Lytechinus pictus: one gene and its partner. The main gene of each other region encodes a partner of the protein of the gene in region 2 in a complex. Links are inferred from orthologs where the notes say so. Each region holds a gene or a part of one and is shown on either strand. Other genes may lie near its edges.

What was found. Proteins that work in one complex are often made in the same cells at the same time.
Region 1: the proteins of translation initiation factor eIF2B subunit epsilon-like (region 2) and translation initiation factor eIF2B subunit gamma-like are in contact, whole or in part, in a cryo-EM structure (PDB 7VLK), measured with the Homo sapiens proteins. The link is inferred for Lytechinus pictus from reciprocal best matches to the Homo sapiens genes EIF2B5 and EIF2B3. Residues at the interface, in NP_003898.2 of Homo sapiens: Pro190, Val202, Arg222, Arg223, Phe224, Ala225, Phe226, Pro227, Leu228, Phe231, Gln232, Ser234, Ser235, Asp236, Gly237, Val238, Glu239, Val240, Arg241, Tyr242, Asp243; in NP_065098.1 of Homo sapiens: Arg155, Phe157, Glu178, Glu179, Leu180, Val181, Ile182, Lys183, Gly184, Leu187, Gln188, Pro191, Arg192, Ile193, Arg194, Phe195, His196, Thr197, Gly198.

What each region holds. Positions count from the first base shown.
Region 1 is NC_087255.1:19,408,449-19,415,412, forward strand, and holds the start of translation initiation factor eIF2B subunit gamma-like, read right to left. Parts: upstream 3,018-6,964; 5' UTR 2,934-3,017; intron 1,658-2,933; 5' UTR 1,639-1,657; coding exon 1,491-1,638; intron 788-1,490; coding exon 630-787; intron 1-629. UniProt on the Homo sapiens protein: Acts as a component of the translation initiation factor 2B (eIF2B) complex, which catalyzes the exchange of GDP for GTP on the eukaryotic initiation factor 2 (eIF2) complex gamma subunit.
Region 2 is NC_087249.1:3,461,799-3,469,697, reverse strand, and holds the start of translation initiation factor eIF2B subunit epsilon-like, read right to left. Parts: upstream 3,008-7,899; 5' UTR 2,918-3,007; coding exon 2,792-2,917; intron 399-2,791; coding exon 274-398; intron 1-273. UniProt on the Homo sapiens protein: Acts as a component of the translation initiation factor 2B (eIF2B) complex, which catalyzes the exchange of GDP for GTP on eukaryotic initiation factor 2 (eIF2) gamma subunit.

The sequences.
Region 1 (6,964 bases), on a different chromosome or scaffold from region 2:
AGAATGATATGGTCAATTAACCTTAGTTTTACAGACTTTCTCATTAAATAATAAGTGTTTACTGCAACTACTTCATTAATCTTTAATAATAATTATGGATATTTCAGAAGTGCTAAAAATTGTTGACATGGTGCGTAAAACTACAATTTAACAATAAACAATAAACAATCACAATCATTCATTCAAAAAAAATAGAGAAAAGGCAGATTTGAAGAGGGATGGTCTTGGCAGCTACTGCAGCAAAACTTTTTTTCAATAAATAAGAATTTCAACTTACAAGGGAATGAAAAATTTATGTGTCGATGGTTGAATGGATATTACAAGACAGTGTGTCTATTTTAAGTCATCCTTGCTAAGCTGATAACAACAAAATGGAAACATCTCATATTTCATATAATTATTTACAAAGGAAATAGTGAGTACATCAGTCACAATGCCATTTCCATGCCAGCAAGTCATGAGAACATGTATATTTGTGAAGTTTAACAAAACTTTGAAATGATATAACTTTCATATTTTAAACTCATAACGATGAAATATTCAGTTTTGGACTTGTTTGACTCTTTTCTATCTCTTCGAGTCAACTTTTTATCGGTGTGGGCTTGACTCTTAAATTCATGCTGGTTTACCTTGATTTTATCTCTAATGTGCCTCAGAGATTCAGCCGTGCCCCAATCTTCATCATTGGGGATGGTTACAATGTCCAGCTCCAGCTTGGTCTCACCACATGATTTCAACTTCTGTCGTAAATCCTTCCCAAAAGATTCAAGTGTGATGATGATCACCCCTGTCAGAATGGGTGCAAAAGAGATTCAAATGATCATTATTCTAAATAATAATAAAACATTATGCTCTGCATTTTATAGGTTATCTACATCTCTTAGGAGCAGTTTACTTCTCCCAAGTCATACCTATACAATGTTTTCAGATACATATATTTCCTTTATTTTTTACTAAACACATATTCATGAAATGGATGCATCATTTATATCATAAGATTAGTGTGGTTGTGTGGTTAGAGCATTGGACTCATGTTTGTAAGGTTGTGAGTTCAAATCCCAGCTAGACCAATATCTGTCATCTTTAAAATCAGCCCCTATGACTGATAACCTTTGACATAAATGTTTTCATATGTACTTGTTTATATACCAGCTTGGTGTGATGCGGAGGAGAGCTGCTTTGCCGATTTCCTACGGATGTTACTTCTACAGAAATAAGTCTTGCTTTCATGAATACAAAGAGCCATTTTATACCATTAGTAATTTTTATAATACCTACAGTACCAGTCACAATTCGTTGACTATCAGTTTACCTGTTTCAACCAGAGAACAATAGATTCAGTGGACCGAATCTATTGTTCTCTGGTTGAAACAGGTAAACAGGTAGTCAAAGAATTGTGACTGATAGATTGTGACCGGTAGTGTATTGTATCACTGTTATTGCAATGGTGGGATTTCAAAATGATCACTTCATGAAGTCCATGTACTTACTTTCAAAGCCAGCCTTCTCCAGCATATTTATCGGATACCAAATCATAGGGTGGTTGCCAATTGGAAGAAGTGCTTTGGGGATGTTGTTCGATAGGTCTGTCATCCTGGACCCTCGGCCAGCGGCCATGATCACCGCCTGGAACTCCATGTTGAATCTTCTCACGCAACTGCTCAGCCAGAGAATGACATGAATGGTGGGAAGGAAGGAGTTGATTACAGAAAAAATAAAAATGCTGCGAGGATATGGATGTTAATAAAGCAATTATGAATAAAATGTAGATCTAATATTCAGTGCATGATTGTGAGGTGATGCATTGCCTTTTTAAAAAGGTATTCCATTATCTATGCTAGCTCCCTGACATGGATGGTCTTCACACATTACAAAGCCAGAAGTCAAAATCAATGAACCTGAAATTTAATTAACCAAACACAAGAACCAAGTATTTTGGCTCGGTTCGGCAAAATATTATTCAGTTTAGAGTCCTGAGTAACCTGCCCATGATTCAACATGTTCAGCTTTTCTGCAATATATTTGTTTTATTTAAACTTTCTTTTCACAGAAATAAATTTACATCGAATGTTTTTTTTTAAATCCGAGTTAAACTGCCGCATGCTCTGGAAATATGGCAGAAATTTCACACTGTTAAAGGCTAAATTTGACTTTTCATTTTTTCAAAGGGATTTTGGAGTTACTTAAAACATGGCTTTTCCGGTGATAGGTGAGTTATTATAATAATTATTTTTAATCACATGTTGACTTTTAGTATTTGTTAAATAATAATTTTTATCACTAAATTGTTCAATTCAATTTCAAAACGGCATTTTACATTGCTAATCGAAGGTACATCATAACGAAGCGGTTAAAGGATCACACCTATTGTAATTGCTTTGTTGAAAAACGGATCGAGGGATCTACATGAGATCGGTCTGGCAAGACACCTTCAATTTTTCACCTTTTTGTTATGCATTAGGCGCGGCGTATGAAGTAAAAATAAATAAAATCACAAACATTTATGTGATTTCTATCTATTAGTAGAAAGCTGGATTTCCTAGGGAAATCCATCTTTGTTTTGATGTGTCTCTTATACATATATGGGATGCGGTTCAATGCTCCACGATGAAGCAGTATATGTCAAAATATTAAAAAATATCGGAGTCCTCACTCCTCACGGCTAGGTAATCGGCCGGTGCGAAACTGCATTAGCGCCCAAATATCCAACTACTTAACGGTACATAAAAGTCAATAGATGGGACACATGCCAAGACCAGGACTTTGTTTCCCACTCCACCATATTTTCGACCACATCGTTTGTTTTGAATATTGAAACAGCAAAAAAGCTTTTAAAAAATGCGAAAATTGATCTAAATACACATTCCTGAGCTAAAAATTTCCCAAAAGTATTCCCATATTATCAAAAGCAAGAAAATATACCACTGTCTTACCTCAGACTCCGTCGGAAATCTCGCTAAATTATTCGACCATTAATGATAAATTAGGGTGTTCTTGACGCGGCGCAGCAAATGGGAAAAAATCGATCAGGCAACTCAAGAGCTGCATACAGAATAATTTGTCGACACTCATGAATAAAAACAAAACACAAAACAAAACAGTATATTCAGCGATAAAGCGGAGAGCATGCCAAGCGGAGTTAACGGGGGGGGGGGGGGAGACTAGGAGAGATTCCGGATAGTCCTACCTGGCAGGATGGCTTGCTCCTCTCAAAGCTAGAGACATAATTACAAATTTTGAAATAGATCTACATACTCTCAATAGAAATATCACAAGGAGGCGTACAAGTATAAGATATTAACCGATCTTTACCATACACGATGAAAAGCAAAATAGATGTTAATTGTTGAAACATATTTCTTTTGTAAATCATGCCAATTTTCCTCCAATATGATTGTGCAACATAGTTTGACTCCTCATTGGACGTGTAAAATATCCCAATTATTGTCTTACTCAGTCAAAGGTGTCTCAATTTGTTATATACTTTCGTCCTTATTTGCATATTACCGTGTGTCTTTTTACCATAAGGAAATTGTCAATGTTGGGCTAATTTCGGTTGTATTAGACTTTTAAAGATAAAGTCTAAAGTTTCAGAAATTAGAAGTGATGGGTTTAGACTCTGCATGTGTGACATGGTTTAGATCATATTTATCTAACCGTCATCAGGTAGTTACCATGCAGACGGTTCTTTCTGATTCACTGCCTATTAAATGCGGAGTCCCTCAAGGAAGCATTTTAGGCCCCATTCTTTTTATGTCTTACATCAATGATATGTGTACTTGTATTAACGAATCTAAATTCATTTTATATGCTGATGATAGTGTCTTGCTATATTCGGATACAAATCCCAAGATAATTGATAAAAAACTTAGTGCTGATTTGGCTAATTGCATCGAATGGATGACTGACAACAAGCTTAGTTTACACGTTGGGAAAACGGAAAGCATTTTATTTTGTTCTAAACGAAAGTTAAGATATACACACGATTTCAAGGTTTCATATAATAATCAGGTAATTGAAAGAAAAGATTCAGTAAGATATTTGGGAATTAATTTAACAAGTAACCTATCATGGACGGGTCTGGTAGACTCAATCGCCAAAAAGGCTAATTCACGCTTGAAATTTTTGTATAGATATCAAACCTGTTTGAATATGAAGTCTAGACGTATTTTATGCTTTGCGTTAATACAATGTTTATTCGACTATGCTAATGCGGCTTGGTACGGTAGTCTGGGTGTTACGGATAAGAAAAAGCTAAGAATAATTCAAAATAAAATTGTGAGATATATAAATGTTTTAGGACCAAGAGCACATGTCGGATATAATGAACTTGAAAAGGCAGGATTGCTTCATGTAGATCACAGGTCACAACAATTAGTATTACACCACGTGCATAAAATATTCTATTCGGATAAATTAGATCATTATATAGCAAATAATTTCACCCGGGTATCAAATATCCATAGGTACGATACTCGAAATAGTAATTTTAATTTCGTATTACCAAAACGTGAAGGACATATTGGAAACACTTTTTATTTTAATGGCATCCAATCTTGGAATGCTCTTCCTGATAAAATAAAAGCCGTTAAATTCTTTTGTCAATTTAAGAGTGCATTAAAAAATCACCTAAAACTGGAAACTGCCCGAGAACAGCATTACCAGTAAAATAACACATTTTGTACAGTTGGTTTCTAGTATTGTAGATAATGTATACATTAGGGTATGTTAAAATATAATCTTGTTTCACATATTAGGAAGATTATTGTTTGCTTCAGATGTTTGCAAATTATATGACTGATGGATATGTTTGTATGTATTTTATTTTTTTCCCCCAATATTCCAGTACTTGTCGTAGTTTATATTTTTTGTTACAATATGTTAATGTTTTATACTAACTATAGGACCCCATTGGAAATAAGCCTTTCGGCTTTCATGGGCTATCCTGTCAAGGTATCTCCTCAATTTCATTGTAATCTCCTGTGATATTCTTGACGAATAAAATCAATCAATCAATCAGTCCACCCCAGAAAATTGTTGATTTGAATCAATAGAAAAAATTTCAAACAAGCAGAATGCTGAAAATTTCATTAAAATTGTTGGATTTTTCACTATTTTCATTCAAAGAACTTTTTGTTGGGATGGACTTGTCCTTTGATATGGTAAATTTGAATCAATAAACTTCGCGAATCGTTAATTTTAGTATAATGTTATCACCCTCCGCCCCTCTCCCTCCGTGTGAATCCCCCCTCCCCTTTCTGGGGGGGGGGGGGGGTCACAAAGACTTAAGTGTGACGAAAAACATGCTTTTGTCGTCAGCATGATTTGACAAATAAATGCGTTTTATAATTGCACGCTAAGTCACACTTTACTCTCTGTGAAACGCGCCCCCCCCACTTCCCCCGATTTTGTAAGCTCAGTCATTGTCCTCATGCCCGAGATATTTCATTTGCAGGACATTCACATTTCGACGGGGGTTTTCTGTGACTGTCGACGGCAGGTGCAGTCTCTTGCCAATTATCGACAGTCCAATGGCGGGGCAGTTCCCCGGCAACTCTACACCGGTTCTTGTAGAGTGTCCCGCTGCTTCAGAGCTATTTGCGCTATTTGAGATGGATGGGAATGTAGGTTAGGAAACATGGCAGGCCGGTCGTACGGTCGGTCGCGCCCGTTTAAACTGATGATGTCTGTGAAATTTTCTCTTATTATCTTTGGGCATGCTATGGCCTCTGAAATACAACACCATTGCAGTAGATTGGACAACAAGCAGATAATAGGCCCAAGCTCGTGCCCATGGGGCCCTCAATTCAACGAATCGGGGCCCCAACCAACAAAGAGGGTGACCAAATGGATTCTGAGCGCATGATGTGCGGGGGCAAAGAAACCTGCTCCTAATTTCCAATTAGCCCACTAAATTATAAACTTATCACTATAGATAAGCAACAATTATTATTGTATTTTGTTTTTAAGCGTTTTTAAAGCATAGGCCTAATCGGAGTAAATTGCATAAAAAATGAATTGATCGATGCTTTTAATTCTTGACATTAAAAAATATGTTTTATGTTTCTTCAAAGTGATGCAAGAAGAAAAACGAAGTCACAAGTCAAGTTAAAATATAGATTGACAATTCATGGAAATCATCACTTTAAGCAAAGGAAAAACAAAAACAACTAGAAAACACTTGTTTTCTCCTCTTGTTCAGTTAATGCTCTTAAAGTGATAAAAATCGTTATGTCGTACATGTTAAATTCCTTTTCAAATGAAAGACGATTACTACGACACTGGCTGTAATCGGCGTATAGCATTCAGTTGAGGCTCATTGTATCAATTATCTCAAATTATATCACAGACCACACATTCTTTGACATAATAATAGTTTGCTTTGATATTAAACTATCGGCTTCCATTTTGTGATTGAGAAGGCCCTCACCTAGTTCTACGTAGATGTTATTGACCTATTCAGATTGGCCTATATCCACGCATGGAATAATTTCTCATTTAGTCAAATGATTCGTTTCACGCACTCCCCCCATGAACGTCAAGATTAATGTACAAAGGACGTGAGATGAAAAGATGGGGATGGCCCGTTGAGGTGGGATGCGGATTCCGGGAGTTGGTATTTTTTTTACATGCAATAGGCACAAGCCTCCGTGATGTCATCGTAATGGATATCTAGATGCTTAACTTGTCAAACCAGTCAATGCCAAGAACAGAAATTTGTACATAATAATATTATCGGCATAATCATCATTGATGCCCTCATCGTCAACATCGTTGTCGTCGTCATCATCAGCATCATCATCATAATCATCACCATCGTCGTCATCATCAACATCAGCAGCAGCAGCAGCAGCAGCAGCAGCAGTAAACCCACTTCTACCACCAATATCACCACGATCACCACCGCCACCATCATCATCGTCATCATCGTCATCATCATAGTCGTCAATTCGTCATAAAAAGG
Region 2 (7,899 bases):
AATTCGTTCAAATTTAAGAAAAACTTCAGAACAAAATTTTAGCATTTCACATAAATTCTTATCATTTGTTAAGTCATATGTAACTTTACAGTTTTATGAAACAGCCCCTTGTGGAATTATATCAACTTTGTTCCTACTTTATGACAACATGAGAATGAGATTGTGTTTAATTACAAATTATATTGAATGTGACTTGATTATCAAACTGCTCTTAAGATATTTTTTTTTAAATATTAAATTAACCTGCAAAAATTGATCAGAAAATAAACTTACTCAACATGATGTTTGATTTGGTTGGAATGTGAACTGCAGAAGACAAATATTTCCTGAACACCGTTGGTTGCAAGAAACTCCAGCGTGTAGTCAATGATTGGACAGTTCACCAGAGGAAGCAATGCCTTCAAACATAAACAAAATGAAAAGATGTGGTTAGAAACTGAGTTCCTACATGGATGGCAGGTAACTAGAGTTGTTATTTAATAGAATATGAATGTCAAGGTGTAATGATATCAAAGTCAACCATTCCCCATAGATACTGCCCTAAGTTTTCCGCTTTGCGGATTTTCCGCGGAAATCGCGGAAACCGGGGTAGAAAGCGGAAAACACAGTTTTGAAAAAAACAGTGAATTCGGTGAGAAATCTTAGTTTTAAAGTATAAAAAAATTGGTTCCAAAAGCATCCTAATTGATAATACAATCTATAAAATCCAGTCTAGGAATTGCACAAATTAAGCTCTGTGAAACCAGCCTACCGATCGCGATCGCACACCTTACCAGATTGGACCCACAATAAATTTATAAGTACAACACTACATACTACTTACGCAATGCAGCTCTCCCAGCAGCGTTTGTGCGCAATTCGTTCTGGAAATTTCCATGCATAGCGAAAGCAATATTCACGTGCACATCACGTTACTACGGTGATGGAACGCTTGGTCGCCCGTACTAGTAGCATGTATGCATCAACGAACGTAGAGGACAGCAGCAACACTGAAGTGTGTTGCTGCCCTCTACGTTCGTTGGTATGCATGTTCATTAATGCAATATGCACGGGGAGTAAGCCTACGTATAGTAGAAATAATTTTACTCCCCAGACGCCTCCAGGGGCCCGTCTCTCAACACCGTCATAAGTCTAACTTCTTGACTAAATCGGAGATAGTGAGCTACTTGTCTGCTAACCGTTTCACGAAGCCCTCTTTACCAAGATCGGGTACAACCTCACTAAATATTTATGACACCTCCGAACCTGTCATAACTTCTTTCTTAATGACGTATGGCATCACGTGGGTAGACTGACATGCAAAAGTGCCTAGAAATTTTCAAATTATAATCTTACGTAATCAATCATAGAGGTTGAAATTACATCACAAAACAAGTGGGATAATGCATTCAATGATAATTGTAATACAAAGAAACTATAAAAACTGTTGGTAATAACAAAACGCCACAGAACCATTCATTTTGAAATAGTAAAATGATTTAATCGATAAAGATTCTACCACGTCAGGCCATCCATAACTGAACTCGTATTAGTTGTTTTCAGACCCCTATTAACAGTTGGATAATTCTATCTCTAATTTATGCATATAATTTGTCAAATTTCGTATGTTTCGGTATCAATTATTAAAAAATGTTTCGTTAAACTATAATTTTGATGACTTTCGGAGTCATAAAAGACCGTATAATTATCATCATTTTACATAGAAAATCGTTATGGTTTACTTTCGTAAACTATTAAAATTTGATATCCCGGGGGTACCCATCTCAACATCCACAACAAGTGATTTTTTAGTCATGAAATGAATTATTCATAAATCAATTTTCACTGCTATTGAACATGTTGAATGGTCCAGTCTTCATGGCCTAAGTATGTATGATGCATAATTCACCTGTGCTATTATTTTGAAAAGATTTATTTCCCAATTCATCACAATATTTGCAATTTTGTCATAATTTTTCTTTTTGAAAATGATGCTATTTTGTGACTAAAAGTCTAAGGCTACGTCTCGTCTGCTCTTTTTACCGAGTATCGATATCAAGGTATTCTATAAGTTAGGAAGCCTTTCGAGAAACAGGTTTAGTAAGATTGGAACTAACTCCGTGGTTGGTGGATATAGATATGACTAAGTAACTTGTCCATGTGTTGAGAAACGGGCCCCAGGCTACCCACGGCCTAGACCAAAAGCTTCAGTCTGTCTCTGTTATGTTGGTTGTTCAGCTGAACTCCGTTGGCTTCACTCACCAAATACAGAGACCGAAGTTCTAGCGCGATCTGTACAGGGGACTCAATGGCCATATGTTTATGTGTATTAAGTTTGGATAAAACAGGGCAGTGAAGTTGTGCGACAGCCGAGGTAAGTCACTGTTTTTGTTCCTTTTAACTTGATTTTCCCCGTTTTTTGGCAATTAATGCCAAGAGGGAATATTAATTTGCATTTCGGTCGCGTTAATTTTCAAAAGTTTGATTCATTAAAGACAAAAATTGAAGAGCCCCGACGGGGGGATTTTGCATTGTAAGTCCCCTAATGGTGGCTGCACGATAGCGAGCCGTCTGTGTATGAGGAGAAATTAAAAAAATTAAAAAATGTTAAAAAACTCCTCGAAACAGACGGCTGCCAGCTGTCTACCCACGGCCCACCTGGGACGGGACGGCCCGAGCCCGGGGGACTGAAGCCGGCTACTACGTACGGGTACCGTACCGTATACGGTACCGCATCCGCACGCATCACACACCAGCTGCTTACAAATTCTACCAAAAATTATTGTATCTGTAGGCATAAGCAGATACTCACTCGCGGTTTTTCCAGGCTTACAGGAGAAAACCTAGTATTGAAGCTATCTGCAATAACAACTGCTTGGAGAACGTCCTCCTTTTCCAACGAATTGTCGGATTTCCCCTTTGCTTTTTTGCCAGACATGGTGATGAAGTCGCGTATGGACAGCTACACTACAGATTCGTGTAAGGACCAAGATTGTTGGCTATGTTCAGCTTAGATTTACGCGTACCGTATACCGTACACTGAACTAGAAATACATGTACGTATATACGTAAATACGTATCTCTAGTTCAGTGATACCGTATATTTCATGCAATATTTGATTGAATTTAGCAATTGTAATGTAGTCGACTTACTTAGTATGTAACCATACATAAGACAAATAATTCAGCTATTTTTTATATATATATATTTTTTGTAATAAGGACCATTAGATTAGAGCCGCATATACTAGTAGTCGATAGACTAAATGCCTAAAAAGTGCCAGTTGAGTTCAAAGAATCATATTTGTGACAAGTTTGTTTGAATCATTGAAGAAGCTAAATATATTTCACTAATCAATTTTTTTATATCGATCCAGCACCGCTCAATCATGAACAGGAATCATATAATTGTAACACTCTTTAAATGTAGCGTGGTAGGTATGGATGAGTGTTAGCTAGTGGTAAGACTTCAATAAGGGAATCCAACTCAAAGTATATAAAGTTCAGATGATATTTAATCACGCAGACATATATATATATAAATGAACAGTCGCTTGTTGAGAACTCGGGCACTCCCCTATCAAGGCCTCAAAGGGCAGGAGCGCAAGCTTATGGAGTAGTAGTCCGAAGACTAAGGAAAGAACCTAGAGAATATCAAGCACCTCTAATTTATACTCTGAGGGGAGGTGTTTACCCCTTTGGACTTATCTATTGTGACTGTACATGAGTAGACAACTAAATGAAATAGAACAAAGGACAGGTCTGGAAGATGTAGGGAACAAAGAGTAATGAATAAGGATTGAGACGAACTAATGAAGGGAGGAAGATTAATCTGAGGGAATCTATTGTTTGCCACTGATGGTGGTGTTTTCATTTGGTTAAAGTATTGTTATTATATGGTCATGTGGTCATGGTGGTTGTATCACTGCCTGAATATACCCAAGGTCTAGTGATATATAATTTAGACAACTATATAAGCTGCTACATTGGAATGAATATTTTACTCTTACATAATTATAGGCCTACCTTTATCCTCTTGAGCAGATTTTAAAAATCTATTTTAGGCTATGCGAGCACAAAGGGCGAGATAAATGCTCAATTTGATTCGATGGCCTAATCCCCCCCCCCCCCCCTTCCCTGTAGTTTGCCCCGCCAATATAGGGGGAAGTGCGACTGCTTTGGCCCCCTGGATCCACCTATATAACAATAATTAAAAAAAATTAATGATAATACTAACAATAATCTCTCCCTTTTTAACTCTACCATTTTACTTTATTAAAGGTCAAGTCCACCCCAGGAAAATGCTGACTTTAATAAGTAAAAAAAATCAAACTGGCATGCCGGATGTAAAATAAGAAAGTTTTGATATTTTAAAATTTCGCTTATTTTTCACAAAACACGGTGATATACATGCACAACTAGGTCAGTCAGTCGATGATGTCCATCACTCACTATTTCTTTTGTTTTTTATTGTTTGAATTATATAATATTTCATTTTTCATAGATTTGACAATAAGGACCAACTTAACTGAGGGAACCATATAGTATTAAACAATGCTAATTCCGCATTTTCAGGGAGGAATTAATCGTTTATTTTACATCCGATTTTGATAAAATTTTCAGTGTCATCAGTGGCGTACCGTGGGTCACAGCATTGGGGGGGGCACCAGCAAAAATTTTGAGTCACTCAGTGTGAGTATACTAACCTAATACATTTTAAGGACGGCGCAATGCCATTAAACGAATGTGTATCTCACTGATCAAATAATGCGAGCACAAGCTTAAAATTTTTGATATTCAGACCTAAAAATAGACATTAAAGGAGAATGAAACTCTTGGAGCAAGTTAGCTTTTGTGAAAGCAGAAAAATCAAAGAATAAGATCAACAAAAGTTTGAGTAAAATAGGACTAGCAATAGAAGAGTTATGAGCATTTAAATGTCGAGATCACTAATGCTATGGAGATCCTCCCATTGGCAATGCGAGCAATATCTATGATGTCACAGATGAACAACTCTCCCCTTTTGGACGCTGAAAATATACCCCAAAACATCTCCTTTTGCTTATTCTAATCATATGACAAACGATTCATCAATGATATAATGTTGTGAAACCTCTGTACTTGTCCTCTCATAAAGAGAACACCTCACCTTGTGATAGACTCTATAAAAGTGAGAATATAAGGGAAATAAGTACTAAAGTAATGAGGGAGTTGTACGTGTGTGACATCACAGATCTTATGGTTGCATTGCCAACAGGAAGGATCTACATGGCATTAGTGATCTCAATATTCAAATGCTCATAACTTTCTTATTATTCATTCAATCTTCCTCAAACTTTCAACAATATGTTTCTTTGATTTTTCTCTTTGATATGGATTCAGCTGGTTTCAAGGGTTTCATTCTCCTTTAAAGCTAATTTTTGTTATGATACGTACCTGTCTCGCTAAACAACAACGCGAGCGCAAAGCGCAAGCTGAACTTGTATACATTTACCCCATACAGGCATATTTTAAGGGCTATTTTTTAAGGAATCCATTAAGAGTATACATATCTCACCATAGTCATCTAATCGAGTGCCAAGCGCTTGCTGATTTTGCTAGAACTACATCTAAACACATGAATTACTTTTTATAGTCATTGTAATCATGATTCTCATACGCATCTCGCAAATCAAATATTGCGAATGCGAAGCGCGAGCTGAAAATTCAGGAAGTTCAGACCTGAAGAGGGACATTCTAATTAAGGCTCGTTTGTAGGAATTCACTAAGACCATACGCATTTCACTAACCAAATTATGCGAGCGCGAAGCGCGAGCTGAAATTTTTTTAATTGATATTCAGATCAGAAAAAGGGACATTAATTAAGGACTGATTTTAGGAATTCATGAAGATCAGACATACCTCACCAATCCACTATTGCAAACGTGAGCACGGAAGGAAATGTTTTATTTGAAGACCTTAGAGTGGGGCAATCGCTTTAGTTGTCATGAAAAAGAAGCATATGTCACTACATAAAACAATAATAACTCGAAGTGCGAGGAAATATGTTTGGAGTATATTGATTTGAAAACGGAAGGTTTTAGCACAACAGGATTATATATCTCGTTAAACAGACAATACGAGCACCAGGAACAATGAAGACATAGGCCCTGAGCAAATTGTGTTTACATAATAGTAATGATAAAATCATAAAGAACAATAATTTCTTCTTTCCCACTACGTTTCTCTTTCTTTTCTCCTTTTTTTTTTGGCCAGCCGATCGACCCCCCCCCCCCCCACCCCCATGCCCCCCGCCCGTAGTTACGCCACTGAGTGTTATGCTTGTTGGATTTTTCTCTTTTTATTCAAATCAACTTTTTGTTGGGGTGGACTTGTCCTTTAAAAACATAAAAATCAGCATTGCGTAATTTGACGGACAGAATAATGGCGTACTGGGTGGGGGTCTAAAAAGTCCCAAGCTAGGGAAGCGAGCTAGCAACAATATCAATCTAAAATGGAAATCTTATATTGTGACAAAGTTTGACATATTTTATATCGAGAAAATAATTTCATTTTTACCATTTTCTTCTTCAATTGCTTACTTGTCTCCTCATTTTAAGTCTTTGAAACCTTTTTTGGGGGCAACCATCCAAAAAATCGCCCCATTTTTATGCCAGTGCAAGTCCCGTTAGAGTCATATGGGGAAAATTTCTCCGATTGCCACTTTTATATAGCAAAGTTTTAGATATCTCCCAATCTGGATTTTTCATTATTATCATTAAGTTTATCTTCATAAATTCGGTGCATATGTGCCCACGGGGGGGGGGAGGGGGCTTCCTTATAAAATGGCCCACACATTTAATTTAAGTTTGCCCAGTCAAAAGGCTATATATACGCCTCTATCTCCCCCTGTCTCTCCCCCCCCCTCTCTCTCTCTCTCTCCCTCTCTCCTTCCATCTTTCCCTTTCTTCCAGGGTGTGCTTATGTACTATATCTTCCATATTCATTGGTCTCGATCCCTTCAAAATATGAAGACCACATACCATATCCATCATTCCGAATTCCATTACTCGATCTTGCATTGACGCTTTGCATACCTTCTAAGGGCTAAGACCTCGCCTGAATTTTATGATATTGAAAACACAAAAAGGATCGATTTGGCTTCAAGGTTGCATTTTTAATATAATACTTTCTGTCTACGCAAATAATTTTTACTCAGGCTATATATTTACCTCATAAGTCTCTCTTTTTGTCATGTTACTTAGAAAAGAACTGTGTTCAAAACAAATTTTCAATATGGATATATATAAAGACGAACTTGAATTTTAACTTGACACTCCATCTGAAGTCGATCACGATCACAACCTATCACTAAATAATCACTACCGTGTTATAGACAATGCAATCAGCATTCAGCTATCAATTGCTTGATCAAAAATCAATCAATTAATTATAAATCGATAAATTAATCAATAAACCAATAAATCAGTCTCAATCAAGTATTCAATCACCATTCAGCTATCAATCACTTAATCAACAATCTATCAGTCAATCAAACAACCAGTCACTTTTCAGCTAGTTGAACTCCAGTTTCAAATTGTAATGAATCATTAGAAAACTCGGTGGTACTGAAGATGATTTCTTTTACATTATATCTATATCTATTTTGACACACAATAATAAGCAATTCATATTTTAAACTATTTTAGATTTGTAATATCGTAAAATTCGCTTAACTGCTCACGGAATACATAGATCAACAATTTCATGAAAATATTATATACACACACACAAACACACAAGCAAGTAAGAATATACATAAGAAGCGAATATGAGAGAGACGTCATTCCGATTGATGTGATAAGCACTATAAGAAAAACGGATTATTTTCATAAACTGAAAAGGCTCCGCATTTAAAATCGTCCAGCTTCTGCAAAAATG